2 linked regions of the Oryctolagus cuniculus genome follow. The protein of the gene in region 2 interacts with the protein of the main gene of each other region in a pairwise test. Links are inferred from orthologs where the notes say so. Each region holds a gene or a part of one and is shown on either strand. Other genes may lie near its edges.

Region 1 (14,619 bases), on a different chromosome or scaffold from region 2:
TTCAGCCCCCTCACTGGCCTTCTGGTGGGGGAGAAGGGGTGTATCCAGAGCACAAAGCCAGCTAGGATTGTCCCAGGGGTTCAGGGAGGTGGTAACTGTAACCTGTTTAAGACACTGAACTCTCTCTGTGCCTTCAAATACAAATAATACTGTGTCTGGCCTAAAGCTCAAGGCAAACTCAAGTTGGCCTCTCAGGTATAAAAAAGCAAGACCTGGAGATAGGTGTTTTAGTGTAGCAGTTCAGACCCGCTGGGAACACTTGCCTGGGTTTGAGTCCTGGTTACCCTTCCTGTTCTAGCTTCCTGCTAATGCATACCCTGAGAGGCAGCAGGGGATGGTTCAAGTGCCGGCCACCCACATGGGAGACCCAGACCGAGCTCCTGACTCCTGGCTTTGGCTTGGTTCTGCCCTGGCTCCTGGGAGCATTTGGAGAGTGAAGCAGTGGATGGACACTGTCCCTCACCTCTCAGGTAAATGAAAATTGAAATTTTTAAAATAAAGGAGCACCAGACTTTAACCTTGAACCCCAAACAGTGATTCTCTAACTGTAGTGTGCATCAGAACCACCTGAGGGCTTGTGAAGACAGTGTTTTCTGATTCTGTAGTGGGGGTTGGGTCTAGACATCTGCACCTGCCTAGCGCCCCTGTGGTCCCTGTGCTGCTGGCCCAAAGACTTCTCTTTGGGAACCGTGGACCCAGAGGACCGAATTACTAGGGTTGTGATTTCTGGCACAGGGAAGGGAGAAATGTGCAGACACTGGGCCTCTTCATCCTCTCCCAGGTGCACACTCCCCTGGGCTGATGTTTGGCTATTCTGGGCATGCATCAACCTGCTTGGTTGCTCCTGCATTCACAGTGAATACAAGTGGCACCCCAATGTCACTTAACATACTTTTAGGGGCAGGGGTGGTGGTGCTGGGGTTAAGCTGCTGCTTGGGACACCTGTATCCCATATCGGAGGGCCTGGTGAGTCCTTGTTACTCAGCTTCCAATCCAGCTTCCTGCTAGTGTGATCCTAGCAAGCAGCAGGTGATGGCTCCCCTGCTGAGGTCCCTGTCACCCATATGGGAGACCTGGATGGAGTTCCGGGTTCCTGGCTTCAGCCTAGTCTAGCTCTGCCATTGTGGGAATTTGGGAAATTATCGACAGATGGAGTATCTCTCTCTCTCTTCCAAATACACTTTAACAAAAATAATTTTAAACAAAATATATTTTTAAAATTTTAATTAACACATAATACAGAGTACTTCAAAAATTCATGGAAAGTGGAATTAAAAGAGAATTTTTTAAAGATTTGTTTATTTATTTCTTTGAGAGGTAAAGCTACAGAGAGAGAGGCAGAGGCAGAGAGTGTGGTCTTCCATCCGCTGGTTCACTCCCCAGATGGCTGCAACAGTAGGAGCTGAGCTGATGATCCAAAGCCAGGAACGAGGAGCCAGAAGCTTGTTCCAGGTCTCCCACGTGGGTGCAGGGGCCCAAGGACTTGGGCCATCTTTCACTGCTTTCTCAGGCCACAGCAGAGAGCTGGATCGGAAGTGGAGCAGCTGGACATGAACCAGCGCCCGTATGGGATACCAGCGCTTCAGGTAGAGGCTTAGTTCAGCCCCTAGAACTTTCTTTTGGTGCAAAAAAAATTGTGAAACCCACGCCTAAGAGAGGTCATCTAAAAGTTCATGGAAACGGGTATTATGAATACAACCAGGCATAGATTTCACCAAAAGAAACTTTCTCTTTTAATCCTCTTTCCCATGGACTTTTTAGAGTGTCCTTGTACATACTGATGGCACCGTGTGACATCTTACTATATGAATATGATGGACGTGATCAGAGCAGGGCCACTGGCACACCCACCACCTGTGACACTGAGAACTGCTCTGCCCAAATCACCTTTCCTCATGCTTTCGCCAAGAGAGGTGCCCCTCTGCACAGGGGGCTGGTGTGGTACCCAGGCCACAGGAGGTCTGTGCAGTGAGAATTAATCCAACACCAAGCAGGCAGGTGAAACCAACGGTCTTTATTGCAGAGGGAAGCTAAAGGACTCACTCACTCCGTGAGCTCTGATTCAGGGGCTCCTCGGCCCAAGCTCCCCCACGAGGCAAGGGTGAACTCTCCAAGCAGAGAAGAAAGCAATTCTCAGAGGCAGCCCTGGGAGGCAAGGGGCCTGAGGTGAGCACCTGGGGAGCAGGCAGCTTGGCATGCAGGAGACAGTGGGAAAGACAGGTGCAGAGGGCAGGGAAAGCTCCCCCCTCCCCTCCCGGTGACGGGGCTCACTCCCTTCCCTGGGAATGCCATCAGATCTAAGGCCAAGCGTCTCCCAGGGCTGGGTTAGGGAGGGGCTGACACAGACTCAGTCAGATCCCTGGAGGAGTCAGGGATAGAACTGAGAGCCTTCTCCTGCCACTCGGAGGACATCGCTTCCCAAACTATAAAGTGCTTGTAGGAGTCATCTGGGGACCTTGGTAAAATGCAGACTCAGAGTCAGGAGGGCTGGGGTGGGGCCCAAGACCCTGCATTCCCAACAAGCCCCCAGGTGACACAGATGCTGCAGCTGGTGACAGGCTACACTTGGAGCTGCAAGGCTCTGGCCATGCACTGCCTTGGTGCACACTAGGAAAGTGCCGCTCCTCCCAGCAAGGAGGACACAGGATGTCCCCCAACAGCCCTGGCCAGACTGGGCAGCCCTGGAGATCTTTTCTTGACCGCCGCACCCTGAAAACCCTTTCCCCAGAGTCTGGCCACCCAGGCCCCGGGATACGAGAAGAGGGAACAGGCTCTCTGCTGCAGAGCCAAGAGACAGGAGCCCCAGGAGGAAAGGAGCCTGGGGGCGGTCTGAGAGGAGGTCTGAGCACAGAACAGCTTAACTCAGGAGCAGTAAAGAGGTCCCACAGGACGCAGGGTTTGGGTGGCCTGGCTTTGTCCCAAGTCCCAGGGCCTGAGAAGCTCACACAGAGGTGCCAGCTGGCCCCACTAATGAGAAGGTGGGAGGTAGATACCTAAGAAATCAAGAAATCAAGGGGTCTGCCGGGCACAGGTGCTTCCAGAAAGCAGGAGTGCCAGGTCCCCTCCTGGCGGGACCAGCCGTCCCTGATAGCCTCCCAGTTTCAGCCCCACATCCCAGGAAGCTCCTGGTCCCTGGTAGGCTGGCTGGCTGGCCACTCCACTGCCTGGCCACATCCAAGGCCTTGAAAGGACTAGGTAGGTCACCAGGGCTCTGGGAGTGGCCCATAGAGTCTTCTGCCTGCACATGGCTGTGACCAGACAGCCAGGCTGCTGCCAGAGGGACCATGGTCACAGGTGCAGTGATTCACAGACACAGCAAACCGCCGTCTTCTCTCTGGGCCGCCTCTCCTGCGGCTCAGCTGTGAGTACTGGGTACCCATGCTGGCACACACCAGTCACACTCCAGGGAGGAGTGGAACCCGCACAGCTTCCGACCCCACGGCTTTCTTAATCAGGAGGAAGGACAGAGCTGCCCTGCCGTGCTCCCCAGTGTCCCGGCCGGACGCAGCAGGCCCCTCCATAACTGTTCTCGTGTTCAGGCTCCTGCAGGTCCAGGGAACCCTGGGCTGAGGATGGGCACTGTTCTCAGGAAGGAATACATAGATGGGGACTGTCTTCTACTCTCCCAGGGGGCACCTGGCTCTCAGCGCTAGGAAGGAGGCCTCAAGCCCACAGGGCCCAGGAAGCGCTCAGCAACACTCATCTGTGAGCTCCGAGATGCAGACAGCATGGAGGTGACGGCACCACGGCCTGCCCAAGAGACCTCCAAGCAGGCAACAGCTCCACCCCAACACCCATTTCCCCAGCAGCAAGGCTCAGGGGGACGGCGGGGTGCCCAAGTTTGCACAGCAGCCATGAGGGCCCAACCAGCTGCAGCCCTCTCGCTGACCCCGCCTGCGGCACTCCAGGGCCCACTACTGCCCTAAGCTACCCTGGGCCCGCGGCACCCTCCCAGCACGCAGAATCGGCCTCCTTTGGGCCTGCGGGAAGCCCTCCCCACAGTGGGGCAGGCCAGAGGCCGCTGTCCCTTGCCGGGCGGGCACAAGGAGAGTGGCCTAGGGCGGGGGAGCCCGGGCGCCCTCCGGGGACATGAGCAGGTCGAACTTGATGAGAGGCGGGGCGATGACGCGCACCTCCGCGCTGAGCGGGTTGAAGCGCAGGTTGACGCAGCGCAAGGCCGGCATGGCCGCCAGCTTCTCCACCGGCACATCTGCGGGGGAGAGAAGGACAGGTTAGACGGGCGGGGCTGCGCAGGCACAGGCGGGAAGCAGGACGCAGGGGCGAGGAGACGTGCAGCATACGGAAATCCAGATTCCAGCTGTCATCCACTCAGCTTGTGTAAAGATACAGGGGCACCACCCCAAACTCAGCAAAGACGCCCCACTCTGACAAACGTAAAGTAAGCAACGATGCAACCAGAGCAAGCTCCTGAAAGGAACAGGCAGTACAGCCCCGGTCCGTGACGGGCAGGTGTGAGCAGGGCCACCTCGCGACCTCCACCATGCCCCTGTCCCCGGAGTCCTGCCAGGGAAAGGCCAAGTGCCTGGCGCTGCACCGGCCTGGGGATTTCCCACGGTGGACTGGGATCGTGCACAGTGAGCATCACGGGCACACAAACATCTACCTTCCGTGTTAATTCTGATCACGCAGCCAGTGTGCTACTTCATTTCTCCACTGCATAATTATTACCGCTGCTTCCAACTGAGTCCACGGGGACATCCAAAAAGCACACAAATACCCAGCTCCTCGCCCACTCTCTGCACCCACAGGCCCTAGGCCTGGCATCCACCGATGGTGCCCCCCTAAACTGATCTTCCTCATGCCCCAGCAGGCCCTCAGCCCCTACTGTGAACTGGAGTCTTCTCCCCACTCCCAGGCACCTGTTGACTACCAGTGCAGACTCCCCACTTTCTAAAGATTCACAGCTCATGGCTGTGTTTCTCTTGGTCCTCAAGCTGCCCCAGCCGTGGCCATAAACAATCTGCTCCTGTCTTCCGCCTGCCCCCAGGGTTCTGGATACACTTCCCAGCAGTGCATTCTGGGGTGTGCTTCCTCACCTACTGGCAGGTCGCATCCGGAGCCTTCCTGCCCTGGCCCTGGAATCAGTCGTTTTTCCAAGAAGCGTTGGCTCCTCTCAGTGTGGAGGGCACAGTCCCCGCACAAGGCCCTGTGCATGGCCACTCCATTGCCCGCGTGGGTGTGTACACACAACCTCTCACTGTGCTCCAGAATTGCTGTCCCTCCATACCACCCCATCAAGGGCTTTCCACACGGGCTGCCTGGCCCTGCCAGGCCCCACCCCAGGCAGACAGACCCCCAGCCTTCACTAAGGTTTCCCAGGCTCTTCCCTTCGCATGCCTGGAGCCCTGGGGAGGGCCCCTCTCCTCTGGGCTTGGTAACTGGGATGTAGGAACTCCCCAGCTCCCCCCGGGAGAAGGGGAAGGGCAGTCATCAGCTCAGGACAATGCCTCATGGGTATGTGCACACTCGGGTTTGTACAGTGCTTCCTGGTTAATCCTCCCCTAGCCATGGGGGCCGAGCAGCACAGGTGAGGAAGCTGAGGCTCGGCCAAGCCCCATCTCAAGGGCACACAGCTCTTCAGAAGCAGGGCCAGGGCCCAGGTTTGCTGCCTCCTGGTTCCCAGCACGCCCCACAATACCCAGAGGTGGGCAGGGGAGGAGAGGAGGCACCTGAAGGGCTTTAAACCTGAGCCCACAGGTGGCTTCACACCCAGGGGAGCTCCCTGGGGCCTCTTCTCGCCAGGCCTGTCAGCCCACAAGATTCCTGGCAAAGTGGAAATGTGCAGGAGTCTGGGTCAATTTTGTTGATGACAGTGGTTTTCTAGATAATGTGGGTTGATTGCCTGCTGACTAAAAGCTTCCTTATCTGAGTGCTATTATTATCTCCATCTTCTAGGTGAGGACTGATGGAGTGCAGAGAAACTAAGTAACTTGTCCAAGGACACACAGCCAGCAAGTGCTGCAGCCAGGCTAGGAAGCCAGGCTGGCTGACTCCCAACCCGAACCCTTCAGGCCACCTCCTACACAGCCTTCCAGTCTGGAATATCCACCCCCCTCCCAAGCTAGAACCCTCCAAAAGATCCCTAGTTAAGGGAGACAGAAAATGGTCTTCCTGCGGGGCTTCCTGGGACCTAACAGGGGTGTCTGTCTTGCCCTGATCATGAGACTCATAGCCCCCTGGGCCACGCAGCCAGGAGCAGACACACACACACACACACACACACACACACCCCGCCAACATCACCTGCAAAGGAAGCCGGTGGGGGTGGGGGCAGGCACAGGGCAGGCATCACAGGCTCTCCAGGCCCTGTAAGGTCCCCATAACAAGCACTTCCTTGCTGACCTGCCCTGATAGAAAGGGCTTCCTGGAGATGGTCTCATTGCTTCCAGAACCTTCCATGCTTCCTTATTCTGCTCTGAGTCACAGGGCAAAATAAACAGCACTTCTAAGGCCCACAGCCCAGCCAATACCATCACCTTCTTTAGGCAAATGCGCCCAGATTCTTCACTTCCATGTAATAATCTTCTGGAACAATGGGGTGGGCAATGGGGTGATGGTGGGCAACGAGGTGATGGTTAGTTGTGGGAGCTTTGGAATCAGAAGGCAAAGCCTGGCTTTTCTAGCAGCAGACTGTGTGGCCCTAGACGGGGTCTCTGAACCTCTCACATGTAGGAGGCGGCCCGCTGCCAACACTGCAAGGAGGGCACAAGGATCAACAAGATGCCTGCACACAGAATGCAGCTCAATACCCCAGAACACACATCAACAAATCTCAGTCCTGGCTCCCCATTGCTAGTCTGGAGCCTGCAGCAGTTGAGTCCCGCCCTGGGTCTGCGAGGACAAGCCCCCGGAGCTGAGGCAGCTTCATATCAGCCTGAGCTCACGGCCGAGACGGCCTGGTGGTCAGATCACGTGGAACCACAGCAGCTGCAACTCCCAGAGCCCCTCACCCCTACTCACAGAAGATCAGAAGCCCCAGGTTTGGCCTCTCCAGAAAGAGGTTCACGTTCACAGGCTGCTGGCCAGAGGCTGTCTAGGTCATGGCAGACAGACAGGAGGGCAGGAGCCGGGAAGGCTCTGCAAGTTGAGGGACCTGAGGCACAGCAGGAGGCACTGTTCCCCCGGGTCCCCCGGCACTAGGTGGCGGCACTGGTGCTGAGCTGCAGAGAGGAGCAAGGCCGACAGGCAGCCAGATCCCTCACACACCCAGCCTCTCAGCTGCATACAAGCAGGGCTCCGAGTGTGGGGTCCAGTCCCCAGCCTTGCCCCATGCGACACAGCAGGAATACTGGTTACTAGGCAGCCAGTGGAGCTGGTCACTACCTACCTACCTATTGGGCACTCGGGAAGCACTGGACAGGTGAGAAGGTGGGCATGAGTCGGCAGGAGGGGATGGGAGAGTCCCATGTCCAAGGCAAACTTGGGGCCCCGGGGAGGTAAGAAGCAGAGGCAAGGCTGTTTCCAGAAGGCAGGCTAGCGCCTCAGCCCAGCACTTGCGTGCCTCCTGCAGCATGCCCCAGCGCTCATTCAGATGCACGCTGCATACTGGGTGTGGGAACTGAAGCAGGGGTTGCCTTTCCCCTACCAAGAATGGCTGGGAAGAAAAGCACAGATTCCTTGGAATCCTGACCTTGCCAGATCAGCAGTTGCACAGCAGCATGGGCAGAAGCCATTCCTCTGCCCTGATGGGTGTCTAGATGCCACCGCAGCTGGCTTTTCAAAGGGAAAGTCTTTCCTGGGGTATCCACCTCCATGGGCCACAGGAGGAAACCAAAGTGCAGGGGGCTCCAGCCCTGAGGCCTGTGCTAGATGGTTTCTCGCAAGGACCCACTGTGCACATCAGGACACTGAACCTCATGTCCTCGGGGCCCAAGGTTGCCAAGCCAGGACGTGGTAGAGACAGGACAGTTCCTGATCCCCAAGCCCATGCTCCATCCTGCAGCACAGAGAGGCAAAGCCATGGCCACACCCATCTGCTGGCGCTGGCCCTCGGCCCCCAGAAGGCAATCACAACAGGCAGGTTTTGCCAAACACCTCAGTACAGGTTGCACCCTGGGCTGAGAGTGTCCTAACCTCAATTGTTGAGACACTTCCCCAGAGCTGCTCAGTCACACCAGCTCCCCCATCTGCCACCACGCCTGGTACTGCCTCAGTTTCTCCAAGGAGCTGAACTGGAGCGGGGTTTGCTTAGGACCCTTCTCACTCTGGACTCTGACTACACCACCCCCTAGCCAGGGAGACCACTGCCACTGGTTTGCTGGGTACAGCACGAAGACCTGCTGCAGGCAGCCACGGAGCAAATCCCTGAGACTCCAGGCACAGTGGGAGCTGCGCTGCTCGGGTCTCCACCTGCACTTGTGTGCCCAGCATCCTCTGAGCCACCTGGTAAAGGACAGTGACAGTGATGGGGACTAGCCATGCCTGTTCCCCTGATTTCACTGCCAAAGTCACTTGGACAGCTTAGCAGCAGGAGCAATGGAGCCTTCAGATCATGTCAAAGCTGGAAGAATGAACAAACCAGAGCAGGCAAGCTAGCAAGCAATCACCCAAGAAGCCAGCTGGGAATTTCTAGACAAAGCTGAAAGATCATTTATGTTCAAGGCATCCTGCCTGGAGGGGGAGAAGGTGGAGGGCGGACAGGAGGATGTGAAATGATCTGCATTTGCAGATGAGAGAGGCTAAATTAGCTTCCTCGGGGCCACACAGCAGGTCAGCAGCACTGGTTTCCAAAGCCAGGCCTTTGGACTCTGGCACACCCGGAGAGGAAGTGCCCTGGTCCACGCCTTCGCCCCCACCCACCATGTCCCACTGCTCCTGGGATTCCAGCTCAAAGGCCACCTCTACATGCACTCCCCTTGGATACCTTCCAAAACCCTGACACCACTTTCTGTATCCCACACCACGCTCTGCAGCCTGGACTAGGTTCACCCACTGCTGTAAGCGAGGTGTTCAGCACAGAGGCTCCATGGCTGCTAGATGGAAGTATGGACGAGTGGTCAGCTTTCAACTAGACCGAAAGTTCCTGCAGGCTGGAGCCCACTCTGTGACCACAGCCATTTGGAACCCACTTCCCAGCTTGAGTCACTACATGTGTATTTGCTGGCCAGGGCCAGGCCTCTGAGGACCAGGGTGGTGACAGGACCCTGGCCCCTTGGCACTAGCAATTATCTTAGTATGAAAAGAATGCTGGGGGCTGGCGCTGTGGCTCAGAAGGTTAACGCCCTGGCCTGAAGCACCGGCATCCCATATGGGCTCCTCTTCCGATCCAGCTCTCTGCTATGGCCTGGGATAGCAGTAGAAGATGGCCCAAGTCCTTGGGCCCCTGCACCCATGTGGGGGACCTAGAGGAAGCTCCTGGCTCCAGGCTTCGGATCAGTGCAGCTCCGGCCATTGCATCTAGGGAGTGAACCAACAGATGGAAGACCTCTCTCTCTGTCTCTACCTCTCTCTGTAACTCTGCCTGTCAAATAAATAAAATAAATCTTTTAAAGAAAAAAAAAAAAAAAAGAGAAAAGAATGCTGAGCAAAACCGAACCACGTCTCAGCATCTAGAAGTAATCACTGCTAATGTGTTGGTACATGGCCTGTCCAACTTAAAAACTTTTTAAAGATTAATTAATTTGAAAGGCACAGTTATAAAGACAGAGAGAGAAATTGTCCATCTGCTGGTTCACTCCCCAAATGGCTAAAATGACTGGGACTGGGCCAGGCCAAAGCCAGGAGCCTGGAACTTCATTGGGGTCTGGTAGGGGCCCAAATGGTTGGGCCATCTTCTGATGCCTTCCCAGGCATGTTAGCAGGGAGCTGGATTGGAAGTGGAGCAGCCAGGACATGAACCAGCACTCATATGGAATGCCAATATCACAGGTAGCAGCTTAACCCATTGTACCACAATGCTGGCCCTTAAAACTATTTTTGTAAACTTATTTTTATTTGAGAAGCAGAGAGGGGGAGGGGAGGGAGATCCCATTGGCTAGTTTACTCCCCAAATGTCCATAACTACCAGAGGGGCCAAAGCTAGAACCAGGAACCCAATCCAGGTCTCTCATGCAGGTGGCAGAAACCCAATCACTTGAGCCAGCATGGCTGCCTCCTAGGGTGCACATTAGCAGGAAGCTGGATCAGAAGCAGAGGAGCCAGGACTCAAACCAGGCTCTCCAACATGGGGTGTGGGCATCCCAAGCAGCGGCTTAACCTGCTGTGCCACAAAGCCTGCCAGTTAATGAGCTTGTGTGTGTGTGTGCACACACACAATCTTCCACATATGCTTCAAAATGGCCGCAACATACTTTCTGCATGGCATGCCGCGTCTTTCAAGTGCATGTCAAACTAGTGACGCCTGCACAGCTGCCTCCGAGTCTGCAGCCCCTCGCCTCCTGTTTCTGTTGCTCCCAGCATCTCACATCTCTTTCAGCCCGTGCCTGCAGAAGAGAGGATGCGAGGTTCCAGCTGCCTTTTTTGAAGCCAGGGTAACTAACATCCCTTTCACTCTGCACAGCCACGGAAGCACACCTGGGACGCAGTCCTAGGCCTTTGCTGCAAAGCCAAGTGTCCTGAGTGGGGACTTGAGCCAAAGACGGGGCAGCCCATGGCAGGGAAGAAGGACCCAGCCAGGATTAAAGACCGAATCCTGCCTGCTTCCTGCCCACGTCTGCGGGAAGCTTACATTGATCAATAGCAGCTGAGTCAGAGTGGGTAGTATTTGTAAAAAATTACTTTCCAGAAGTCAGCTTGACTTCACCTCACTGGTCATTAGCACTATTGACTGGTAAACTTGCTTTAAGCCAGTGGGGCCAGCAGAGAGGTGAGCTGATAAAAACAGTGGTTCTGGAGTGCTAATCTCCATTCCTTGAGCTTCTGGGGGCTGCAAGAGGAAGAGGGGTCCAGGCCCAGGCAGTGGCAAGGGCTAGTGAGCTCCCTGCACAAGCCCATAGTCCCTGCCTCTGCATCTGCTCCCTGCTGGAGAAAACCCTGAAAATCCAGGCTGGCCAGGAGCCAGGGCTGGCTCCAGACTCTGGCTTGGTGCCTGGAGACAAAAGCAAGAGTCAGGATGCCGAGGGGAGCTGAGCTTCACACCCCTACTCAAAATGCCACAGAGACTAGCAAGCAAGCTATGGTAACCCAGTGGGGCCAGGGGCTAGTGCCTGCTGCAAGAAGGCTCCCAGGCTAGACACATCGCTGGGTGGCAGTCAGGGTGGCGGCGACCGAGCCTGCCCCACCCTCACAGGCCCTGGACACAGTAGTCTAGTGTGGAAGGGCTGGGCACGCACAGAAATATAGGTGGCCCTGTCCTCAGGGGCAAGGAGGCATCTGCCTGCCTGTGCCCAGCCAGCAAGCTGAGTTCCAGCCATCAGGGAAGGCAATGACAAGGGGAGCCCTGAGTCCACTGCTGACCAGAGGCCATCTGGGAGCCTGGGAAGGGCCTGGGAAGGGCCATGGGCACCCCCGGCCACCTAGAGCCAGGCCCTGAAGCCCTCTGAAGCCCATCAGAAAACCAAGCCCTTCTGCCCCATGGTGTCTGGGGTAGGGTCGCAGGGAACAGTGTGGGGACCATGAGGTTCTCTCAAGCAAGATGGGCCTACCGAGGTACACAGAATATTTCTAGAATCCATTAACAGGGGCATAGTAGGTAAAGCTGCCGTCTGCAGTCCGGACATCCCATATGGACACCGGTTCGAGTACTGGCTGTTCCGCTTCCAATCTAGCTCTCTGCTGAGGCCTGGGAAAGCAGAAGAAGATGGCCCAAGTCCTTGGGCCCCTGCACCCACATGGGAGACCTGGAGGAAGCTCCAGGCTCCTGGCTTCGGATTGGCACAGCTCCGGCCATTGCAACCAATTGGGGAGTAAACCAGCGGATGGAAGGCCTCTGCCTCTCTCTCTGCATAACTCAAATAAATAAATGAATAAATCTCTTTTTATTTATTTATTTGAAAGTCAGAGTTACACAGAGAGAGGAGAGGCAGAGAGACAGAAAGAGAAAGAGAGAGAGAAAGAAAGAGAGGTCTTCCATCTGATGGTTCACACCCCAGCTGGCTACAACAGCTGGAGCTGCACCAATCCGAAACCAGGAGCTTCTTCCGGGTCCCCCACATTGGTGCAGGGGCCCAAGGACCTGGGTCATTCTCTACTGCATTCCCAGGCCATTAGCAGAGAGCTGGATCGGAAGTGGAGCAGCTGGGTCTCTAACAGGCGCCCATATGGGATGCCGGCACTTCAGGCCAGGGCGTCAACCTCCTGTGCCACAGCACTGGCCCCATGAATAAATCTTAAAATAAAAAAAAAAAAATTCATTAATGGGGCCCAACATTTGGTCTGGTGTCGCTCCCCCTCTTCGTGGAGGAACGACACAGGACCCTGCGCTGTTCTTTCGTCTGCTCGGCCCTCCCCGGGTTTGCTGCTGGTTCTTCCCGGGTTGGCTACTGTCCCTTCCACCTCCGTGGAAGGGCGGTTCCCCCTGGCCGCTTTCCCCACTTCCGCAGGGGAGCGGCACACCGCCGGCCGGCTTTCTCGGGGGCTGCACAGGTGTTCCCCTTAGATGTTCCCCTTAGATGTTCCTCGTGCATGCTGTCTCTCTCCTCCTTTATAGTCCTCCTCTGCCAATCCCAACTCGGCTGCCCACACGCCGAGTACGCTGCTCTCCTCCAATCAGTAGCAAGTCCTACAGTTTATTGGTTGAACTGGAGGCAGCTGTGCGGAAGCTGTTTACTTCTCTCCCAGCGCCATATTGTGGGAAAGCAGATGCATAGAATAAGTCTTAATTCCAGTAACTCAGTCCAGTCCGGGCTGCTCCCCACAGATCCCCCTTTCTTTTTATTTTTTGGCGTTGATACGCGCCTGTCTTCGGTGTCCCGCGGCACACACTCTGCTCTACTTGCTAGAGTTGCCACAGGTTCTTACAAGTCCTATCAATCAGGCAAACCGAATCCGGGTCCTCTCTTCGCCATGTTGTGAGGAGGTTTTTAGGCGCTGATGCGTGCCTGTGTTCGGTGACCTGCGGCTCACACTCTGGTCGAGCCGCTTGCTGGTGCTTACCGCCTTAATCAGGCAGACCGAATCCAAGCCTCCTAATTGCTGTATTGTGGGGAGGCCTTACTGATGTTAATTCGTGCCTGTCTTCGGTGACCTGCGGCGCATAAGCTGCTAGCCGCCGCAGATGCTCATCGCCTCACTAATCGGGCAGACTGAATCCAAGCTCTCACATTGCTGTGTTGTGGGGAGGCCTTTCTCTTTCTCTATTTCTCTATCTCCGGGCATTCCTATTTCTCCCATTTTACTTCTGTCTGCCAACATTCCCATTTCTCTCATTTTACTTCTAAACTTCTGTTTCTCTTATCCCTGCAGCTTCCCGGTGCCTCGCCCTGCCGGCAGGCTCCGCCCCGAGGCTACTTCTCGGCGCCTCGCCGGCTCTGAGCCGCTTCAGCCCGCGCCTCTCTCATCTGCGCGGCTCGGCTTTGCGCACACACTCCGCGGTCTCGCACTTAGCCCAGCGTTCCCTATGTACTTGTGCCCCGCACGCTCTTTCTGCGCACGGCAGCCTCCGCGAGTCACACAGCGTCACTTACGTCTCCACCACTAGCATTCAATCTAAGTTCCCCGGGCTAGCCTGGCGAATTCAACCCAGCTCACGTTTCCGCCCCACGATCTGGCTTCCCGTCCTTTGCTCCCCGGGCTAATCAGACGGATCCCAATCTGGCTTACGTTTCAGCTTCTGGTTTCAACTTTTCGCCCCCTATTCCCGGGCTAACTTGAGAATCCCAAAGTGGCTTTCGTTTCCGCCTCGGCCTGCCCCCCGCGGCTTCAATTTCCCTAACACTTTTCTCTACCCGGTATGTTTCCCTAAGTTTTCTTCCAACAATATTCCTCCCTCATTTCTCCTGGCCTCTCCCCACAGTCCGCGTCCGAGTCTGTTTGTTCTAGCTTTCACTTTCGCTTTCGACCTTAGAGATTTCTCCCAGCTTCCCCCCGTAGTCCGTATCTGAGTCTATGCCTAGGCTTTCAACAGCTCCTTCCGGCACCTTTTTCGTCCGGCTTTTCCCTAGGCTGTCTGCTAGTCTCTCTCTCCGGTATTTTCCCAGTTCTTCCCGTTTCTTCCCTCCTAGGTTTCCTATCCGTCCTAGGTTTCCTATCCGTCCTGGGTTTCCTATCCGAGTCACGGCACCATTATGTCGCTCCCCCTCTTCGTGGAGGAACGACACAGGACCCTGCGCTGTTCTTTCGTCTGCTCGGCCCTCCCCGGGTTTGCTGCTGGTTCTTCCCGGGTTGGCTACTGTCCCTTCCACCTCCGTGGAAGGGCGGTTCCCCCTGGCCGCTTTCCCCACTTCCGCAGGGGAGCGGCACACCGCCGGCCGGCTTTCTCGGGGGCTGCACAGGTGTTCCCCTTAGATGTTCCCCTTAGATGTTCCTCGTGCATGCCGTCTCTCTCCTCCTTTATAGTCCTCCTCTGCCAATCCCAACTCGGCTGCCCACACGCCGAGTACGCTGCTCTCCTCCAATCAGTAGCAAGTCCTACAGTTTATTGGTTGAACTGGAGGCAGCTGTGCGGAAGCTGTTTACTTCTCTCCCAGCGCCATATTGTGGGAAAGCAGATGCATAGAATAA
Region 2 (15,622 bases):
GCGTGCTGTTCAAAAGCATGTGCAGAAGTGGCTTCACCATGCTGATGGCGGGGTACCTGGAGGTGGCCAGTGTCTCAGCCACTTGCTGGAAGGGCTGCAGGAGGTCCACGAGTCCCGCCACAGTGGTCCACTCAGCAGACTCCAGCATAAGGTGGTGGTTGTTGCTGTCCTCCACCAGCACAGCCGCTACAACCAACTGCTGCTCCTGGAGCCGCCGCAGCATGGCCAGCGTGCTGCCCCACCAGCACACGCGGTCACTCACGAGCATGCATGGTGGTGTGGCTACGCCCTGCTGCCTCTGCTTCTCATACAGGATGCACATGGCCACAGGCGAGTGCTGGAAGTACTCCACCAGTCTACGGCACCGGGAGAGCAGCCCGGCCAGCTTGGGCAACTGGAAGGCCTGCTGGATGGCCACGTCGAAGGCATGGCCGAGGCACGGCATCTGCACCGGGATGTCCAGCAAGGAGCAGGCCTTTGCCATGTCCCTCCCAGCATCGGTGGTGGCCCCAAAGACCTTGGTGCTGAGGCCCCACTCAATGAAGGCCTCGTACAGCACACGGGTGATGGTCTCTGCCATGTTATCTTCCGGCACCTCGAAGGTCTTCAGGCACCGGGAGCCCATGGACAGGCCACTGGGGGAGCCCACGCCCAGGAAATGGGCCGCCAACGTCACGTAGGCTCGGTTCTGGCTGTGGCTCCGCCACGTGTCCGTGGAGATGCCGCACCACGAGGCATCAGCCAGCTCCTTGAGCACGGCTTCCCGCACCTCCCCGTATTTCTGCGGAATGGCCTTGCTGGTGAAGAATTTCCGGCTAGGGAGCTCGTACTTGGGGTCGGCTGTTCTCAGCAGCACCCGGAAAGTGGGCTCATCGACGATGGACGCTGGGTACAGCCCCTCGCAGATGAGCCCCAGGATGGCAGCTGTGAGCTCCTGCTGCTTCTTGCTCTCGTAGCTGTGGCCGGCCTTGGCAGGGGCCGTGGTGGTGGCCAGTGTGTCCGGCACAGACTGCAGGGAGGATGCTTCCGGTTTGAGTCTGGAGAAGGCAGTGGCGAAGGCCTCACGCATCTGCTCAGTGTTGCTCTTGACGAACTCACAGAACTCCTCGGGGTGGTTCTTCTCCAGGTGGTAGGACAGGTTGGAGGTGTTTCCAGAGTAGGCGATCTGCGCCATGCAGATGCGGCAGTAGATCCTCTTCCACTGCAAGATGCATCCGTCCGCGTCTGTGTCGAAGCCAAAGTACTTCCACACCTTGCTCTTGGCACGGGGGTGGGCCACCAGCTTCAGGTCTGCCTGGGGACCTTCCAGACTCTTACTCTCCATGGCTTGTCCGCTGGGAGCCTTGCCTTGCCAGGTGGACGTCCATTCATCCGTGCGGACCTGCTATGAAGCAGTGAGACAAACACAGCATGAGCAAAGGGACCCGGGTTCGCACAGGCACCCTGAGCAACATGGCCCACACAGGAAGGAGCAGCTCCGTTTGGACTTACAGGGGGCTGCGGCTCACTGGGTCAGGTTTCCTGGCCTGCGGCTTCCGCCAAGCCGAGGGCAATGTAACACACAAGCCTGCTCTTTCTTCCAGCTGAATCCTATGCACATGTTCCAGCTGCAGGAAACATTTTTGCTTTTACACATGGCAGTTCAGAAGGGCCATCCCTTTCAGCTCATTCCTCAGAGCGGCTGACTGCTACTGACTGTTTTTGGGGGCCCACCAGGAACTGGGCACACGGGAGAGCTGCATAGGTCATTTTAGAGGAGGCTGCTTGTATCTAGGGAGCCCAAACACACCTAGGCAGACCCTGCACTGTCACTGCCCACTTGCCTTAGAGCTGATTAAGAGCAAAAACCCACATCCAATGGCACTGCAGCTGGAATTAAGCACACCTGAGAAGCAAAAGCAGGACTTTGCGTTCACTATGGAGATTATTTTAATTGGGGTAAGAGGCAGGAACACTTCCTACAAACTGTACATTGGAAGAAAATCTGTTTCAAACATCGCACACTCTAGATTTCACATAATCTGTGATCTGTGACCACGGATTTCTCCACACACGCGATTTCTGCAAGTGCAGCCCCATCTGAGGGCAGAAACATCACATCTGCTGTGCCCATCAGCGTGTGACATCATCGTGTGACATCATCAGCATCTTGCTGTGGTAATGTTGATGACCCAGAAGCCGGTGACCCTGGGGTTCCTGTTGTTGTTGACAAATGTCCAGAAGCTCCAAGCTACCATTTTGGACTGTGTCCATGACTAAGGAGCCCAAAAAGGAGGCTGGGTTTTCTTAAAACTGCTGGTTACATCTACAAGCTGTTGGAACATTAAATAACAAACTTGACCTCCCATGCATTTTCTGAGAATTTAGGGTATGTTCATAATCAAGCAAAACATATCTCACTAATGATGACTGTGGGTTGAAGAACAATTGAAGAGCGATTCACCAGCAGGTATCTTGGAGCTAAGCCTTATCTGCAAACAAGGTCTACGTAAACATAAGAAAGGTGTTGAGATGAGACCATCCTGTCTTAGAGTGGCCCCTAAATCAATTGAGAAGTGTCCTCATAGCAAACAGATGAGGAGATGAAGCCACAGAGAAACCACAAGATAGAGAAAGACGAGTAGAAAGATGTGGACGCCTGGAGCCACCAGCAGCTGGAAGAGGCAGGAAAGAGATATCCTCTCCCCGGAGCTTACACAGTAAACTTGACACAACTACAATGAATGGAACAGAGACATCAAAACACACACCCATCTCCCAAGCTGTAAACGGGACCTTAGTGGGCAATAGGGTTTTGCAGATTAATTCAGGGACAGATCTCAGGATGAAGCTGTCCCAGATGATGCAATGGCAGGTGTCCTTAAGAGGAGACACAGAGGAGAAGCCAACTGAAATGAAGGAAGATACTGCAGGGGTGCAGCTACAACCCGAAGAGTCTGGAGGAGGCCATGAAGGTGTCTCAGTCAGCTTGCTCTAGATGGCTTACCCAATGCACATTTCTCACAGTTCTGGAAGCGGGAAGCTGGAAGCCGGAAGCCAGAAGCCCCAGACCCAGTTGTTCACAGATTGGGTTTCCAGTGAGAACACTGTATTGGGCTCATAGAGGGTCATCTCCTGACTGTCCTCACATGGAAAGGAGAGCTCAATTATTCACCTCTCATGGGCCCCACCTCTAAATACTGGCACATTCCCTTCACAATGAAGGGCACAGAAAAACTCAGTCCATAAGAGAAGGATCCTTTGCTAAGGCCTCTGGAGGGAGCACAGCCCTACGAGCACCTTGAGTTCAAACACTGGCATCCAGAATTGTGCAAGAATACACATAGCTGTGGTTTTAAGTCACTCTATGAGTGGTATTTGGCTATGGGGCTATGGCACCCCAGTGGAAACTCACACAGTGGATGTAAAAGGATAAAGGGTATCAGGAGTGTCCACGTTGCCCCAGTGATGGATGGGGGCCATTCTGAGACTTCCTCACGAACACTTACACCAGGTAATGCTCACTTTCATGCAACGGTGCCTGCTGGAGACTTTATAGGATGATAACACTACCACGTGCCTGATTACCTAAGCATTCCTGGTTGCAGCAGCTTCCCAAAGGTGGGACAAGGCCGCAGTTACTGTGATGAGATTCCAGTGTTCTCTTGCGTACTCTCCAGTTCCCTCCTTTGTGAGATCTTCCTGTCATATTACCACCATTGTCACTGCCATCATCACCATCACCATCATCACCGTCATCATCACTACCCTCATTAGCATCACCATCACTGTCATCATCACCACCATCACTGTCATCAGCATCACCATTGTCATCATCACCACCACAGTCATCATCATCTATGATCATCTTCATCCCTTCGCGGGGACCACAGAGGTTCTATGGAGGCTAATTCTCTCACCATCATGATCATAACTATCCCCACCACCATCATCATTTGGTGGAAAGAGGTTCTGATATCTAGAACAAAGCTTGATAGTCTACTACTACTACTACTATTAATTTTATTAGAAGCAATTATTTCAACAGAGAATTGATATGGTTGGTATTTGGCTAAAAGAGACCCTGGTACCTAGAATTTGGATTTATATTCCATTATCACCACCACTGTGATTGAATGAGCTTCCATTAATTTTATTAGTAGTAATTATGTCAACAGGGGTTGAATAATCAATGGTTGGTATTTGGCTCAAAGAGATCTTGGTACCCGGAAGATTGATTTATATTCCATTATTATAGCCACTACTCCCATTACTTGCTACCTTGTCCAACTCTGCACCTATACAATGAGCTGCCACATTTCTCAGATTTTCCTTCTGGGATTTAATAATAATAAAAAAAAATGGATCACAAGAGAGAACGGTATAGAAACAATGTGGAAAAACCAGTTCCCTTCTACCCAGCAGTCAATATAGAAACAGAGAAAATCCCCAAACAAGGCCACTCTGCCCCATAACGTCTTGTCATTCTGGGCAAGTTACTTTTTGTTGAAAAATGATATATAGGGCAGGTGTTTCTTGTGGGGATTAAGACCCAGCTTGTGGTGTCCATATGCCATATCACAGGGTCTGAGTTTGAGTCCCACCTCCAACTCTGATCCACCTCCCTGCTATGGCCTGGGAAAGCAGTAGAAGATGGCACAGGTCCTTGGGCCCCTGCTCCCATGTGGGAGACCCAGAAGAAGCTCCTGGCTCCTGGTTTAAGTTCAGCCCAGCTCTGGCCGTTGCAGTGATTTGGGGAGTGAACCAGAGGACAGAAGACCTCTCTTTGCCTCTGCCTCTGTCCCTCTGAAACTCTGCCTCACAAAAAAAAAAAAAAAAAAAAAAAAAAAAGTAAATCCTTAAAAAAAAAAAAAAGAATTTTATCTGTGAACTACATGAAAGGTGTTCTGTTTCTATTTTTTAAAAAAAGTCTGAACTCTGAATTTGCCCATATGTTCTGCTTTGGGCCACTGCTTACCACTCACTAAACCACCAAGGCAGAGTACTCAGCCCAGCACCTGCCCATCCTGCATCTGCCTTTCAAATAACAATAAATAAATCTTTAAAAAGTGCACAGGAAAATAGAATTTAAGATTTATTCTGATTCAAAAAATGTTTACAAAGATCTATTTTCAGTTTACTTTATACTCATAAGATTAACCCTACACTAAGTAAAGAGTTTACACATTTGTTAAATACACAGAACAGAGGCATAGCAGTCTGGAGCCCCCTGGATGATTTTAATGTCTTAAAAGAGCACATGCAATTTTCAGATTCCAAGAATAAAATTGCCAGGTCTCCCATCCAGACTGGAACAGGCAAGGGTGGGAAATGAGGCGGGCTGATGGGCAATGACTAGCAGGTTCTGCCTCCAGTCAGTGTCAGGCAGGGGCGTGGAAGAGGGCTGGGTTCCAGACACAGACAGTTCCCTTGTCCGGTCAGAGGTAGGCAGGGGCGGGGAAGCAGTTCTGGGCGCAGACTGGCAGTTCCTTCCTCCAGTCAGGAAGAAATAGGGAGGGGGAACAGGGTGGGGTTCTGAGCACAAACTGGCATGGAGCGTCCCATACCAAGCTGCCGGTGCACCCCTTTCTCTCCTGGTTCAGTTCTAGGTCCGGTCAACTGCTGAGTGATGAGGAACTCCGGGCTTAACCAGAAAACACATTATATAAAAAGGACACATTTCACCTCACACTTACTTGTCATCTGCAAGTTTGCCAGTGTTTGCAACTCAAAGGAAGGTGTTTTTTCCAAGGCACAACCACAAAAGTGGCCTCTGACCGGAAGTGATTTTCTGCTGGCCAAGACCTCCCCGAGAGTGACATCCCCAGCCCCCCGGTCCCCCACCCCCGACCCCGAGATATACAACTCCTCCAAGGCACTCTGCCCACCCTTTCCTGGCATGGCCTCTGCTAACTGACCCTGGGTTGGGGAGCGAGGTGGGTCGCATGGGACAGCCATGCAGAGCGCAGGGCCACAAGCTGAACCCAGGCAACGGGGACAGGCGCCTGAGGTCTGGAGCGCAGGGCGCAGGTGCCCGGGTAACCTCGGCCATGGCCCTGTGTGGACTCGGAGGATCTTAAAGGGAGACCCCGGCCCACGGCAGGTGGCAAGGGGGTCTTCCGGGTGAAGGGGCAGTGCTTGGGTAGGGGAGGAGCGTGCGCCCCACAAGGACCCCATGGCCTCTGATCCCGGCTGCTCCAGCGCCTCCCACGCCAAGGTAAAGCCCCGCACCCACCCCTCACCACCTCCAGGCGCCGCCCAACCCCACCCCAGGGGTCTCAGGGAGCACGGAGCGCGCCCCGGGTCCAGCGCAGCCGCCGCCGCCGCCACTGCGTCTGCTCCGACGTTAGAGCGCCACCCCGGTCCGTGCCCGCGCCCACCTCTCACCACCTCCACGGTGCTGCCCAGCCCCACCCCGGGGGTCTCAGGGAGCGCGGAACCCGAACCCCAGGCCCCGCGAAGCCGCCGCCGCCATAACGGCCCCACCCGGCCCCCGGCCCGCGCCACCCGCCGGCTCACCTAGCTCGGTGAAGCCCCCGCCACAGCGACGCAGCGGCTGCGCCAGGATCACCGCAGTCCCCGCCGCGCAGACCCGCAGGTCCGCCCGCGCCGCAGACAAAGGCGACATGGCGGCCCCAGCGCCGCAGCTGCCGCCACTTCCGCACCGCCCGCCCGCGGCGCTTGGCACTGCACTGCTGCACGGCCCAACGCGCCGCCCCCGCGCCCGCCTGCCCGCCGGACCCCCAACCCTGACTGCCTTCTCCCACACACACCCCACCTCGCCCCCACCCCCGCCGCCTCGGAGCGCGGACCCCTCCCCGTAGCCCCTCCGGGAGCTCTGCCTGGATTGCTGACTCCGGCCAGGCCCGCGAAATCCTCCCCACAGCCCCGCCTAGGCCCTCGTTGACTGCACCAGGACCCCCTCCCAGACTGCTGAGTCCAGCCCGGGGACCGCTTCCCCAAATCCCCTCCAGGAGCTCCCCGTCCAGCTGGAAACCCCTTGCCCATTCCCTGAGCCCGTAGACCCACAACAGGGCCCCACTTGAACTGCAGACCTCTGCTGGGCCTGTGGACCCCGGCCCAGACCGCTTAACCACAGACACGTCCCCGCGGAGACCCCGCTGGGGCTGCAGACCCCCTGATGTAGGCAGACTGGATTAGATTTGTGAGCTGACAGACCACGCCTTTACCACGCCTCCTGTGTGATCTCCTGCCCCTACCTGACCCCACCTGTATGCCCGCCTGCCAATCAGGCTACATAACCACTCCCCTTTGGAGTGGTTAAAAGGCCTGAAACAAGGTGGGTCAGGCACTTTCCCTATTATTGACCATTGTTACCCTGTTGCCCTATGCCTTTGGGCACCTGGCCTTTGGGCTGCCCGTGATCTCTGCCATGATAAGCTGCCAATGGTAGCTGCTCATAACAAAATGCTTACACGGGCCGGCGCCGCGGCTCACTAGGCTAATCCTCCGCCTAGCGGCGCCCGGTTGCCCTTCTTCCAGGCCAGCTCTCTGCTGTGGCCAGGGAGTGCAGTGGAGGATGGCCCAAGTGCTTGGGCCCTGCACCCCATGGGAGACCAGGAGAAGCACCTGGCTCCTGGCTCCTGGCTCCTGCCATCGGATCAGCGCGGTGCGCTGGTCGCAGCGCGCCGGCCGCGGCGGCCATTGGAGGGTGAACCAACGGAAAAGGAAGACCTTTCTCTCTGTCTCTCTCTCTCTCTCACTGTCCACTCTGCCTGTAAAAAATAAATAAATAAAAATAAAAAAAATAAATAAAAAATGCTTACACGTGGCTCTTGACCTACTCTCTGCTAGGTAAAGATCTAGACTTCGTTTCTCATTTAGATTGAGCCCTCACTTTCCTATGCATTTCTCACTGAATAAAAAGGTTGAAAAACTTCATGTCATCTGGTCTATTTGCGCCAATATTCAGAGCCCACACAGCTTATTAATTTCAGAAATATGAATAAGCAAATCAGTATCACCCCTGCCTAAACCCCCACGTAGATGGCAGCCCCCCACATCCTAGCAGGGATCCCTGCCTGGACTGGTTACCTAGCTTGCTAACTCCCACCCACACCTGCCAGTACCTGTACCATCCCCCTGGACTGCTGACCAAAGCTCTACCAGCAGACCCCCGCCCATGTCCCCACCAGGACAGTCCCCTGCATTGCAAGCCCCACCCAAATCTGTTCCTACCATATACCACCACAGCCAGCCCTCTGATGCCCTCACTCAGCCTCTGCTGGGACCAGAGACCCCATGCCACTCCATCTGGAATTCAGTCCTGACAGTGCCTGGACCTTACCTGCCCCCATACCTGGACTCCAGACCCCCCAAGCAGGCCATCTCACCTCCCAAGAGAAAACTCTAGACCCCCGAGTCTGACTCCCCCACAACTGCTCCCCTAAATTGTAGCCCCCCCATTGAAACTTCAGACCTCCACTCAAACTTGGAACCCATTCCATTGTGGGACCCCTCTTCACCCCCACCTATCCACTGTGACTCTGTAGATTAACCCACAGATATCGGCCCCACCACCACCACCAGAACCCTCTGGAACCTGCCCCTTCCCAGACCCTATCAAGATCCAGTGAGGATCTTCCCCGTGAGGACCCAAGACTCTATACTGCACACTCTACCCCACGGGGGACTCTGACCCACTATGGGAGCTGAGCCCCATGGACACATTTGGCCCACAGAGCTCTCCCCCGTAGACAGCTGGGATTTCCCAGTGGCTGTCATCAAATGCACAATAAAGGCAAAAATCTTGGTTTCTGGAGGAGCTAGTGTTGGGGGCCTAGGAACCAAGTGGTTTAGGCAGGTTTGTTTATTTTTTCTTTTCTTTTCTTTTCTTTTTTTTTTTTTTTAGATTCATTTATTTATTTGAAAGGCATAGTTAGAGAGGCAGAGCCAATGCAACAGAGAGAGGTCTTCCATCCACTGGTTCACTACCAAAATGGTCACAATGGCCAGAGCTGGACCTATCCAAAGCCAGGAGCAGGAGCTTCTTCCTGCTCTCCCACCTGGGTGCAGGGACACAAGGACTTGGACCATCCTCTATTGCTTTCTCAGGCCATTAGCAGAGTTGAATTGGAAGTGGAGCAGCAGGGACTTGAATGGGAGCCCTCTCTGTCTTTCTCCAAAGAAAGTTCTCATGTGTTTTAAGGGTTCACGAGACAGCCCACCAGTTTAATCTAGACAAAATCCTGCTACTTCCAATTCCATAGCCTTTTAGACACCATGTCAGACCTGCTCCAGAAATTTGGCGGGGAAGGGTAGTTAGTGCATAGACACTTCCAGGAGGGGTTGGCTATGACTCAACCTAGCCTACTTTGATCTGCACACTGTTGTGTGTTCATTGTTTTTTTTTTTTTTTCTGCCCCTAAAAGAACTCACCCAAAGCTGAAGGTGGTAAGGATTCTGCCAGGGCCCAGGCCTCCCTGGTGAAGGTGGGCCAGCATGGCAGCCCCTAGTGGCCAGAAGAGAGAGCATGGCAGGTTGCCAAGGGGGCACCAGGTCATTTGGGGGCTTTTCATGGGTAAAGTGGGATTAGGTCCTTCTACTTAGGAGTCCAAGACAGTGTTGATAAGTTAGTGTCTTCTGTTCTAAACATTTATTGATTGATTGGTTAGTTTGAAAGGCAGAGGGAGAGATGGAGAGATAAATCTGCCATTTGCTGGTTAACTTCCCCAAATGGCTGCAGCAGCAAAGTGTGAGCCAGACCGAAGCCATGGGATGGGAGCTGCACCCAGGTTCTCCCACGTGGGTACCAGGAGCCCAAGCATTTGCACATCTTCTGCCTTCCCAGGTGCATGAGCGGAAATCTGGATCAGAAGCTATAACAGTAGCTAGGACTCAGCACCAACCCCTAAGTTAATTTCCTTTAAAAGCAAAAAGGCCAAGAAGGAGGTGTGCATTGGTCCTAGTGGTTGTGGTGACCTAGTGACATATGACCTAGTGGTCCACACGTTCAATTTCTGACTCCAACTCCTTGACTGCAACTTGCTACTCATGCAGATTCTGGGAGGCAGCCATGATGGCTTGAGTGACTGGGTCCCTGCCACCCACATGGGAGACCCAGATGGAGCTCCTGGCTCCCAGCTGTGGCCTGGCCCAACCCTGGCTGCTGTAGGCATTTGGAGGGGAAGGGGGTGAACATTGCTCTTGTCATCCATTTGGATGCTCCCTTTGGTTTAACCTATGACCGTGTTTTATTTTCCATTTCTGTGTTTAATTCTTCCAAGTCACTGGCCCTGGGGCCAATGCAGGCAGAGGCTTGTCTCCAATTTAAATCTTACGAAAGGGTGCATGGCATGAATAGGTAGCCCTGGTGTAATGCTGGCGTCCATATGGGCAACAGTTCAAGTCCTGGTTCTGCCACTTCCCTTCAGCTCCCTGCTACTGTGTCTGGGAAAGCAGCAGACAATGTCCCAAGTGGTTGGCTCCTGCCATCCCCTTAGAAGAACTGGATGGAGCTCCAGGATCCTAGCTTTGACCTGGCCCAGGCCTGGCTGCTGCAGCTAACTGGGGAGTTGCTGGGTCACTCCCCAAATATTTACAGGGACCTCAATCCAGGTTTCCCATGCAGGTGACAACTACAGGAAATGTCACTTACTGCTCCCTCCAGGGTTCTATCTGCAGTTTTCCATCCTAATTTTTTAAAAGAAATGGAAGCATTTTCATAAGCCCCTAAAAGTTCACAGAGCCTGGGCTCTGTGCCTTCTTTATTGGATCATTATTTATTGGATCATGTTGACCCTGTTTCTTTTTGGATTTTTTTTTAAAAAAGGGAAAGTTTGTGTATATGGCATAGTAGTTAAAGTGCCTCTGGGGATACTCACATCCCGTATAAGAGCACCTGGATGCAAGTTCTGGTTGTACCCCCGACTCCAGCTTCCTGCTAACGTGCACTCTAGGAGGCAGCAGTGATGGCTCAAGTGCTTGGGTCCATGCCACCCACTTGGGAGACCTGGACTGAGCTCCCAGCTACTTGCTTTGACCTGGCCAAGCCATAGCTGTTGCATATATTTGGGGGAAATTAGGAAATGTTGCTTGCTCTCTTGAATGCAACACAATGGTTTCTGTCCCAGCTCTATGTGTCATGGTCTTCCCATCTGTTCTCCCCATTCTGTCCCTGGTCCACTTCCCCCTGGAAGCCTTTATGGCCAGCATCCACCTTGACACCATTTGATCTTGACCACTAGCCTCCAAGTGTTTCCCTGCCTGGTGAGTTTCCCTCCCCTACTGTAAGTATGTGATAAGAAATCTATGTGTTTACAAAGTTGGGGTGTTGGGTTCTGTGGGAGCATCCTGACCTCCCCTTGGGAAGAAAGCGGGAGACTCAGATCAACATCCATGACATGTGTAACCCTAACTATGCATTACAGCTCTGTTCTTGTGAGCTCAGCAGAGCGTGGTGGATTAGCAATCATCCCTGTGTGGTGTTCTATATCGGCACTGGGTGATGCCCCACATCCTGGGGACAGGGATGTGTTCCTTTGGGACTCTCGAGAACTTTCCTAGGAGTTTCTTCCTTGGGCTGCCCCTAACTTGTATACTTTCCCTGTGACAAAATAATAACCACGGGGCCAGTAGTGTGGTGTAGTAGGTAAAGCTGCTGCCTGTGGTGCTGGTATCCAACATGACCACTGATTTGAGTCTCAGCTGCTCCTGTTTTGATCCAGCTCCCTGCTAATGCCCCTGGGAAAGCAGTAGAAAATAACCCAAAATGCTTGGTTCCCCACACCCATGTGAGAGACCTGGAAGAAGCTCCTGGCTCCTGGCTCCTGGCTTCAGATCGGCCCACCTGCAGCCATTGTAGCCATTTGGGGAATGAATCAATAGATGGAAGCCCTCTCTCTCTCTCCCTTTACGTCTCTCTCTCTATCCCTTTCTCTCTCTCTGTAACTCTGACTTTCGAACAAATAAATAATCTTTAAAAAATGTTTGCAGGACAATGAAATTAAAAGGTAAGCTTATTTGGGGTCAACAATTCTGAAACTTGGTGGCAGCTGTGGGTTGTGAAAAAACTATGCACAGATTTCAAGATTTTTTGGATTAAAAGGCATTTATCTTTCATTTCTGTTTTTTTTTTTTTCACAATGTTTTTGAAGCACCCCGTACCCAGTGGGAGCTCAGGGAGGTTGTTTGCTGTGTAGAAGATGGCAAAAGAAAAACATCTGGAAGAGGCAACTTAGAGCATTTGGAAAGAAATCTGTGTCTGGGCCGGCTCACTAGGCTAATCCTCCGCCTTGCGGCGCCGGCACCCCGGGTTCTAGTCCCGGTCAGGGCGCCGGATTCTGTCCCGGTTGCCCTCTTCCAGGCCAGCTCTCTGCTGTGGCCAGGGAGTGCAGTGGAGGATGGCCCAAGTGCTTGGGCCCTGCACCCCATGGGAGACCAGGAGAAGCACCTGGCTCCTGCCTTCGGATCAGCGCAGCGCGCCGGGCGCAGCACACCGGCCGTGGTGGCCATTGGAGGGTGAACCAACGGCAAAGAAAGACCTTTCTCTCTCTCTCTCTCTCTCTCTCACTAACTCTGCCTGTCAAAAAAAAAAAAAAATCTGTGTCTGAGGCACAGGATGAAACAAAATAAACAAAGAATTAACAAACTGCTGAGCAAACAAAAGTGTTGGCTAAAGTTACTAGGAGCTAGATTGGATCTTAATGCTGAAGAAAAAGACCTGTTCCTTTTCTTTTCTGTTTTCCAAAATACCTACTCTGAGGATGCTGACCCATTCCCCAACCAATCCTTGCCTATTGTTCTCCAATATTCACCTGACATCACTTGGTGGCTTCTCATGGGGGACTAATACATTTGTATGTTTCTAGAAGAAATCATAAAACTAAAATTACTTTCCTCAACCCTAAGGACGTTGCCCTAGGCACAGGAGTGAGAAAAGAATAAGCCACATTACCTGGGGAAAATTCTAGATTAGAATAGATTTTCTGGAGTAGAACATTCTGGGGCCAAAGATGCAGTAAAAACTTGGTCGGAAATATGGAAAAAAAATAAAGAAATGGTTCAGAACTTATTTTCAGCTATCTATGCCATGACCATTTCAGAAGAAAGTAAGGCACAAGCTATATAGAGACGTATCAACAGATAAAAATCCTTTTATGACTTAACTGCTTCCAAAATAGGTTAGAGCAAATTTGATGTGTGTAAAAATTCATAATTTAGCGGAGCCAAGATGGCGGAATAGTGAGGGCACGCACCGATAGTCCGGGAAAATTTAGTTTAATAAAAGGGGAGTTACGGTAGCCTCAGAAAAAAGAACCAGGAAAATATTGCAGACAAAACTCTTCTGGATCCAGTGGGCGTGAATCGGAGGACCTACTGGGAGAACAAGGTCGCCCACCGCGCGCGAAAGCCGAGCCGCAGGACCGAGCCGCGGGACTGAGCTGCGCAAGCTGCAGGGTCTGCGCGCAAGTGCTCGAAGGGGAGTGCAACAGCGGGGAGACTTGGGACGTCCAGGGCTCCGAGTCCACACATCGGCACTGGAAGGGGAGCAGACCTGCGTGGAGAGCATGGGAGCCCACAGTTTGGGACACCAGCGGCAGACTCAACACACCAGCACTGGAACGTGAGGTGAGCCGAACCTCAATAACCCGAGACACCGGCAGGCAAGCGGAGAGAGGAGACTAGAGGGAACGACCCCCGGGGCGGGGGGGACTTCACCAAGCTAACTGGAAGAGAGAGAGAGGGAAAAAAAAAAAAAAGGTGACTGGTACGGACACGGGTTTCTCTCTCTCCGCTCACCTCTCAAGGGCGAGCAAGACAAAGAGCAGGCGCCATCTTGGACATACGTCATAAGCAGAGCGACCTCAGGTCTGCACCGGCCCTGAGCCTAGCAGTAAAACCTGACTCTGGGTGGGGCGAATTAACAGGAGATTAGGACCTAGTAAATTTGTGGTGCTACTGAACTGAGACTGTGAAAAAAGAGACGGTGGGGGAGAGAACTCACGGAATTCACGTGAGCACTCTCCAGAGACGCTACAATTCCGTAACTTTGGCAACCCAGTGGGAGACTGAAGGAGAATTTGAGCCCACTCTAAGGGCCGAACAGATTCCCTGTGTGGTCCTTGGGAAAGAGCTTCTGATCTCTGGCTCCTGTGGGTATATCATTTGCCTGCTAACTACCTCCAACTTCGTTCAGCTGTGCAGAATAACTTCCCTTTTGAATCAAAAAAAAAGAGAGAGAGAGAGAGAGAGAGAGGTTTACCACGCCTAACCTGGGAGTGTCACCTTTGGCACACCAAACAGAGCTCTCAGGCCACACCCATCTCAAGCCCTAAGGCTCCATCAAAAACAGATAGTCCACTTAATCTAGAGTCATAGTATAACAAGAAAAAGCACCACAGTGAAGAAACCAAATATCTCCAATATGACAAATAACAAACGCAAAAACCAAGGTAATAAAAACAAGGAAGTCACCATGAAGCCCTCAAATGAAAAAGACACCCCAATTCAAGATTATGAGGATGATGACATAGAAGAAATGCAAGAAGCAGATCTCAAAAAATTGATAAGAACATTAAGAAGTTCTCAAAAACAAATTCTTGAACTACAGAAATCCTTAATGGACAAGATAGAAAATCTCTCTTGTGAAAATGAAATATTAAGGAGGAATCAAAATGAAACGAAACAACTAGTACAACAGGAAACTGGGATAGTGACTGAAGTGAAGAATTCAATAGATCAAATGAAAAACACAATAGAGAGCCTTACAAACAGAATGGGAGAAGCAGAAGAGAGAATATCGGACTTAGAAGACAGAGAACAGGAAAGGATACAGTCAGACCAAAGAAAAGACGAGGAAATTAGAAATCTAAAACATATTGTCGGGAATCTTCAGGATACTATTAAAAAACCCAACATTCGGGTTCTAGGAGTTCCTGAAGGCATGGAGAGGGAGAAAGGATTAGAAGGCCTTTTTAGTGAGATATTAGCAGAAAATTTCCCAGGTTTGGAGAAGGACAGAGAAATCCTAGTACAGGAAGCTCACAGAACCCCTAATAAACACGACCAAAAGAGACCCTCACCACGACACGTTGTAATTAAACTCTCCACAGTGAAACATAAAGAAAAGATCCTAAAATGTGCAAGAGAGAAACGTCAGATTACTCTCAGAGGATCTCCAATCAGACTCACAGCTGACTTCTCATCAGAAACTCTACAAGCTAGGAGGGAATGGCGAGATATAGCCCAGGTACTAAGAGAGAACAACTGCCAGCCCAGAATATTATATCCTGCAAAGCTATCATTTGTGAATGAAGGTGAAATAAAGACTTTTCATAACAGAAATTGAAAGAATTTGTTGCCACTCGTCCAGCCCTGCAAAAGATGCTTAAAGATGTGTTACACACAGAAACAAAGAAACACGGTCATCAATATGAAAGAAGGTAAAGGAAGGAAACCAAGGAAGGAAAGCTCACAGCAAAAGATCACAGGGAATTCAAAGCATATATTAGAATTTATCTTTGGCAAATGGCAGGGCAAAGTTACCACTTATCATTAGTCACATTGAACGTGAATGGCCTGAACTGTCCAGTTAAAAGACACCGTTTGGCTGATTGGGTTAAAAAACAAAACCCATCTATTTGCTGCTTACAAGAAACACATCTTTCCAACAAAGATCCAT

Evidence for each region.
Region 1: the proteins of ZBED1 (region 2) and LRRC20 interact in binary tests that used the Homo sapiens proteins (3 or more experiments, as listed by UniProt). The two-hybrid records come from large-scale screens. The link is inferred for Oryctolagus cuniculus from reciprocal best matches to the Homo sapiens genes ZBED1 and LRRC20.

What each region holds. Positions count from the first base shown.
Region 1 is NC_091446.1:61,865,217-61,879,835, forward strand, and holds the end of LRRC20 (leucine-rich repeat-containing protein 20), read right to left. Parts: intron 4,211-14,619; coding exon 4,056-4,210; 3' UTR 2,146-4,055; coding exon of another isoform or gene 2,134-2,145; 3' UTR 2,000-2,133; downstream 1-1,999.
Region 2 is NC_091433.1:98,526,864-98,542,485, forward strand, and holds the start of ZBED1 (E3 SUMO-protein ligase ZBED1), read right to left. Parts: upstream 6,679-15,622; 5' UTR 6,499-6,678; intron 5,806-6,498; exon of another isoform or gene 5,676-5,805; intron 1,385-5,675; exon of another isoform or gene 1,382-1,384; 5' UTR 1,325-1,381; coding exon 1-1,324.